Ovis aries: one gene and its partner. The protein of the gene in region 2 interacts with the protein of the main gene of each other region in a biochemical or structural test. Links are inferred from orthologs where the notes say so. Each region holds a gene or a part of one and is shown on either strand. Other genes may lie near its edges.

Evidence for each region. The genes of interacting proteins can lie anywhere in the genome.
Region 1: the proteins of ARF6 (region 2) and CYTH1 form a complex in vitro, tested with the Homo sapiens proteins (2 studies listed by BioGRID and IntAct, with this or other methods). The link is inferred for Ovis aries from reciprocal best matches to the Homo sapiens genes ARF6 and CYTH1.

What each region holds. Positions count from the first base shown.
Region 1 is NC_056064.1:52,903,864-52,908,096, reverse strand, and holds the start of CYTH1 (cytohesin-1), read right to left. Parts: upstream 2,913-4,233; 5' UTR 2,832-2,912; coding exon 2,810-2,831; intron 1-2,809. UniProt on the Homo sapiens protein: Promotes guanine-nucleotide exchange on ARF1, ARF5 and ARF6. Promotes the activation of ARF factors through replacement of GDP with GTP.
Region 2 is NC_056060.1:41,107,207-41,109,771, forward strand, and holds ARF6 (ADP-ribosylation factor 6), read left to right. Parts: upstream 1-1,480; coding exon 1,481-2,008; downstream 2,009-2,565. UniProt on the Homo sapiens protein: GTP-binding protein involved in protein trafficking that regulates endocytic recycling and cytoskeleton remodeling. GTP-bound form plays an important role in the transport of multiple palmitoylated proteins form the Golgi to the plasma membrane.

The DNA of each region.
Region 1 (4,233 bases), on a different chromosome or scaffold from region 2:
GTTTAACCTCCCCCCCACTTCACACAGGTGTTCACAGTCTGGTTTATCACACCACATGTGTAGTTTGAACTATGCTGTATGGATCTAGTGCATTACAACTAGACCAAATAAACAACTCAGGATCACAGGGAGTGAACAAGAGAAAGGGCTGCTGAACTCAGTGGTGTGGTTTCTGGGTCAGCACAGAACATCAAAGAGTATGCAGTTAGGAAAAGCCTTCTGGTGAGTTTTCAAAATTCTCTTTCGTTGAACAGAGAAACTCTAAGACACATTCTCTTTCTTTAGCTTATTATAAATGAGTTATGCTTCAAAGGTTTTATCTAGCAAGGTGATAGCATGGAAATCATAAACCCTGTCCCCAAAGATACAATGTTAAAAAATCATGGTAGTGACCTAGGCTGACTCATGAACCACCAATGGAGGTTCCGAGGGAACCCCCTGGACCTGGCATTCTATGCACTGTTTGAGTCCACAGCACCCACTTTAGTTTGAAAGGTGGAATGTGAATAGTTGTCTTATCTTTTGAGGTAAATTCTCTGTAAAACCTAGGAGAGAAATGGAAAGTTCTGGAGACTGAGGCAAACCTTAAAAAGAACTAGGAACCTTTTTCTTGTTATGATCATCTTGAACCATTAGGTACTTTTTGTGTGGTAAACCCAATGAGTGGGGGAAATCTTTAAATCAACCTTTCTGCTTCCTCCAATATACGAAGAATATGTTTTTTTTTTAATTGTACAAACAGAAAGAAAAGAACAACTTCTTCCTCATCTTTATGTGTGGTCAGCAGAATAATGGGCCCCAGAGATAGCCCTGTCCTAATCCCAGAACCTGGAAACACGCCGCCCCTACGTGGCAAAAAGGGGGTTACCATTGGAGAACTAAGGCTGCTGATCCTTATCCTTATCAGGTGGGTCCAATGGCGTCACAGAGCCCTAACTAGAAGAGGCAGAAGCCAGACAGAACTGAGAAGATGCTACCTGCTGACTCTGAAGGTGGAAGGCAGCCAGCAGCCAAGGAACGGGGGCAGTCTCTAGAAGCTGGAAGAGGCAAGGAAACAGATGTTCCTGTTAGGACCTCCAGAAAGGAACACAGCCCAGTAAACACCTTGATTTTAGCTTAGTGAGACCAAATTTGGACTTCTGACCTCCAGAACTGTAAGATAACAAGTTTATGTTGTTTGTGCCAATCTGTTACAGCCGCCACAGGAAACAAATACACCCTGCTTCCATTCACCCTTTCTGAGCACGAATTCATGCCATGCCTGGTGGCAAAGCAGTCATTGTGTTCAAAGCAACCAGACCAACAGCTTCCTGCCTCGAGCGGTGGGTAAGACCACCAGGAGAGGGCATGAAGAAAGCCTGGATTAAACAGCAAGAGATGGTACAGGAGCACGCAAAGCTGGAGAAGGCTTCTCCTGGGTGGGCAGAAACAGACACCTAAGTGGGGCTGAAAAGTCCTTTGGGATCAATCGTGGGTGTTTTCTCTTTTTTCAATCACAGAGGAAAAGCACACACTGCTTTTACTTGGAAGGTAACCAGGGGACATCTGATGGACACCGATCCCACGTGCTCTGGCCTTTCCCCTGTCTGCCACTGTGGGTCATAAACCCACCTATTGCGGTCAGTGGTTCCTCAATGACTTACTCGTAAACAAACAGAAAAGTAACAAGGTGCTTCACCTTTCACATTTTAACATACCCCACAACAAAGCTTGCTCCCTCAGAGCTTAAGAAACAAACGTCGCCTATGTCACTTAGTCAAGAAAGCGGATTCGCTTCCACTAAGCCACACAAGCATTTCAAACTGCTGTCTGTACTCTGCTTACCAAACCACAAAACTTCACCACTTGTTCTATCTGCCATTCTTTCATCTCTTGGGAATAAAACGTTAAATAAATTAACGAAAGCATTCCACATAGCCTTCTGCCAGCCTGGCAATCTGAAGCCATTTGACAGACGAATGCCCTGCGGATGGCCAACAGTTCCCAGGTGAGGTCAGCAGAAGGAGGCTTTGGAAACGGGTAGTTTTGTCAAGCGTTCGCTGTCGGTGTGGCGTGAGGGCTGTGCCGCGTCTCTGGGCACAGATGAGAAGGCAAAGTTGGGTTTCTCGGCGCCCCTCGGGCTCGCCCCGCAGGCGCTGGGGGAACAGCAGCCCCGTTTCCGCGGAGAGGCGGTCAGCCTCGGACCCTGGGGTGGCCGGCGGCAGGAGATCCCGGCCCCGACGGCACCGTCAGGTGGCAGCCTGTCCACTCGGGGTTCGCTGCCTGTGTTTTCTCATTTTTGTTTCTGAACAAAGACATGGACCAGGGTACATAACTTGCCAGCACCGAAGGGGCCGGAAACTACGGAGAACGGCCGGGGGAACTTGAGCGTTCGCGGGGGAGGCTGGGCCTGCGCGGGACAGCGGCCCGAGACCCCCGCCCGAGACCCGGACCCCGAGACCCTCCTCTGAACCCCGCCCTAGACCCCGGCCTCGAGACAGACCCTCACCCTGGAGGACTTCCGCCTCGGAGACTCAGGCCCCGAGACCCCGGTCCTACGACTGCGGCCCCAGAGACTGGAGCCCGGCGACCCCCAGCGCCGGCCCCCGAGACCCGTGCACCCCGACGTCGGCCCCTCATCACCCCTCAGCCTTTAACACTCGGGGCCCCCGGTGCCCCCTGCCCTGAGGAGGCCCCCGCCCCGCCCGGCTCGCGTCCGGCACCACAGTCCCCGGGAAACGTGAGTCGCCTGAGGCGCGGCCAAGGCGCCGGGCCGGTGAAGGGAGGAAGGGAGGGGGCGTCCGCCGGCCGGACCGAGGGCCGTACTGACCGTAGCTGTCGTCTTCGTCCATGGTGCCGGCGCCAGGCTCCGCGCCTGGGCTCGCCGCTCGCCCCAGGTCCCGCAGCTCCCGGCCCCGTTCGCCCGGCGAGTCTCAGAGCCCCGCCCCCGGCCCCAAGCCCGCCGCCCGCCGCCCGCCCCTCGTCCCCCGCGGGGCGCCCCGCCCGCGGCCTGCGCGCGCGCGCACACACACACACACAGAGCCCAGCACGCGGCCGCCTCCCGACCCGCGCCTGCGCACGCGCGCCCGCCCAGACCCCGCCCCCGGGCCTGCGGCCCCGCCCCCGTCGCCCGCGCGCGCACCCCTGGGGCCGCGTCCTCTACTCTGCCCAGGACTGCGTACGCGCGCCCGCCGAGGCCCCGCCCCTCTGGCTGGCCCCGGGCGCCGAGGCCCCGCCTCTGACCACGCCCCAACCCGAGGCCCCGCCTCGGCCGCCTCCGGGGGCCCAGCAGGTTTCGGATTTCCTAAGGGTGGCGCAGGCCTGGGAAACAGACCAGAGCCCAGCCGCCCACAGAGGTACCAAGGTCGTGTCCGGCCACTCAAGGGCAGGGTGGTCCTCGCTGACGTTAGTTTCACAGGTCCTGCTAGTCCTTGGCCGAATACCAGAATATTTTGAGTTCATTATTTCTGCAGTCTGAACCTTAGCACCGTGAATGTCATGAGTTCATTGCCTTTATATACTTCCTTTTCTTTGTCCTCTGAATGTACCCCGATCAAATTTCAAAGAGAGGCACCTCAGCCTCACAGCATGTCAGGATTTTGGTGACCTTGATTCCTGCGACTGTTGGATTCATACGTTTCTAGGCTGTGCCTTACATGTTTTATTTGCCTGCACTGGGCTGACCGACCAATCCCCACCCACTGGTTAGACTGAGCTGCCCTTTGAGGAGCCTGGGCAGTAGTTCTGCACCTGGAGGTGGGGACATCACCAATTTTTAATTCAGAAAAATAAACGAAAATGCTGCTTTTTTACTTGTTCCTGGATGGATATGCTCTTTCTTGATTTGGTGCTACACATAAAAATTATAAGTGTGTCATTTGGAAGGATCACACAGGGATGGTCCAGGACCCTCCTGGGGGGCATGACCCTGGACCCCCTAGCACAATGTGCTGTACTGGGGGTGCTGCGGGAGAAGAGCTCAGCCCAAGGTCCTGGCAATGCCCCTGAAATGTCAGGGAATATCTCCATCAGGGGGAGTTGTGACCCTTCTCAGCAGTCTGTTTCCTTACAGACCGTTCCAAAACATGCCTCCCGGTAGACAACAAAGGAAAGTCCCTTTCCTCTCATGGAAAAGGAGTAAATGAATGAGGAAACTCTAGGTTTTCTTTCCACATCTGCTTCCTATTAGCTCTGTGATCTGGGCAAATACCTCAGCCCCCTGGACCTGTCTCACACCCGTGAAATGAAGCATCT
Region 2 (2,565 bases):
GGCTGGGTAAGAAGTTATTATTAATTACACTAAAAGATGATAATATTTATACATGAAAATTTATCACCTCCTAAAAAGCTGAAAAAGCATGGAAACTGTTGATAATACTGTAATTAAAAAAACACAAAACAAAAACGTGGACTGGTCCTGCCGAGATGTGTTGAGATTGGGCTCAAATGCCCCAAAGACGGGCTTGAGAACAAACCGAAGCCCAGTAAAAGCGCCGCACTGACTGGCAGATTCCACGCGAACCACTTGCCTCCCACGTGTCTTTCAGGAAACGCACAGAACACGAGGGATAAAAGGAAGCCAAAGAGGGCCAGGGGAAAGGTAAAAACCGTGGCTACGGCTTCCCTGGGAGACTGAGGGCTCCCGAAGGCTGCGGCAGGCTGGAGGGACCTCGCGGAGCATCAGGCAGGTATCGGGGTCTGCGAACAGGCCTGGAAGGAGCACGGGGAAGGCGTTCGTTGGGGGAGCGGGCGGTCCGTGAGCCCCACCCCTTGGAGCTCCGTAGAGGATCAGCTCCCCTGGATCGAGTTGGGAGTGGAGGAAGTGAGAGCGCAGAAGAAGGAACGCATAGAGGAAGGAATCGCTAGAGGAGCGACAGACAGGTGGGAGCTAGTCAGAGTCCCAGGTTCGCGGGGGTGCGGGTTGGCCGCACCCGCGAGACCTCCGGGCCGCCGTAGCCCCGCCCCCAGCGCGTGGCGCCCCGACGCTTGGCGCGCGGGCCGCTCTCCTTACAGAGGTCGCTCTTGCCCGAACGGTTGGACTCCCTCTGTTGCGCCTGCGTAGTCGGGAGGGGAAGTGAGGCGGTTTCCTCGGCGCCTTTTCCGGCGGCGGCAGCGGCAGAACTGGGAGGAGGCTGTGGAGGCCGGAGGGAGCCCGCGCGCGGGGCGGCGGCTGGAGGTAACCTCCTGGGCTGAGCTGACGAGGCGGGCCCCCTCGGCTTCCACTCTCCGCTGGGGCTCCCGCAGTAACTCCTTTTTCCCTCTCTGTGTCTCCGCAGGCAGCGCACCGAGTTCCCGCGAGGATCTATGACCTGACCGGGCGCCAGAGCCGCGCTGCCTCTCGGGTGGCCTGGGTCGGTGGTGAGCGCGGTGCTCGCGGACCGGGGACCGGGCCGAAGGGCCGCAGTCTTCCAGGAGAAGGCGGAGGAGCGGGAACCGCGGCGGCGCTCGCGCGGCGCCTGCGGGGGGAAGGGCAGTTCCGGGCCGGGCCGCGCCTCAGCAGGGCGGCGGCTCTCCCGGCGCAGACTCAGCGCCCGGCGGCCGCGGCGCCTGGAGGAATCAAGTTGTGTGGTGGGTGATGCCCGAGTGAGCGGCGGGCCCGGGCCTCTGCCCAGAGGAGGCGACTCCCACGCAGGCCGCACGGGCGCCCTCGCGACTGGGAGGCTCCGTTTCTGTTTCGCGGCTGCGGCGGCGTTGTTGGCGGAGGGGACCCGGGACACCTGAATGCCCCCGGCCCCGGCTCTTCCGACGCGATGGGGAAGGTGCTATCTAAGATCTTCGGGAACAAGGAAATGCGGATCCTCATGTTGGGCCTGGACGCGGCCGGCAAGACAACCATCCTGTACAAGTTGAAGCTGGGCCAGTCGGTGACCACCATCCCCACTGTGGGTTTCAACGTGGAGACGGTGACTTACAAAAACGTCAAGTTCAACGTATGGGATGTGGGCGGCCAGGACAAGATCCGGCCGCTCTGGCGGCATTACTACACCGGGACCCAGGGTCTGATCTTCGTAGTGGACTGCGCCGACCGCGACCGCATCGACGAGGCCCGCCAGGAGCTGCACCGCATTATCAATGACCGGGAGATGAGGGACGCCATAATCCTCATCTTCGCCAACAAGCAGGACCTCCCCGATGCCATGAAACCCCACGAGATCCAGGAGAAACTGGGCCTGACCCGGATTCGGGACAGGAACTGGTATGTGCAGCCCTCCTGTGCCACCTCGGGGGACGGACTCTATGAGGGGCTCACATGGTTAACCTCTAACTACAAATCCTAATGAGCATTCTCCACCCATCCCCCGGAAAGGAGAGAAATCAAAAACCCATTCATAGGATTATCGCCACCATCACCTCTTTCAATTGCCACTTTCTCTTCTTTTGAATTTGAACTCTGGAGTTACAGTTCTGCGGTTTGGGGGAGGGGGTTAGGGATTTTCTTTCTTTTTTTGCTTTGCGTTAGGATGCTCTGATCTGACTTTTTGACATGAACACAAAGTGCTAGATGCTCTTGTTGACTTCCAGCAAATGGGATGGGGGAAATATAGCAGTTCTTGGTAAATTCCTTTATAATAATGGTTTGATTTTTTTATCTCGAGAGAATCTTCTTTTCCAATGTATGCTTTTTTCCTTTTTGCCCAGTTTCCTTATCACTTGCTGTAGATGGCTTATTTTGCATTCATGCAGACTATGTTGCAAGTCTGTTTCATCTAGTAAACTGAAAATTATTGCTTAATCAAACTGCTGTTTGTCTTTTATATTTAAGGCCTTTTCGCCCCCTCTTATGAGTTCTGACTTTAAGTAAATTCAAATGTGACCTTTTATATCTAAGACCAGT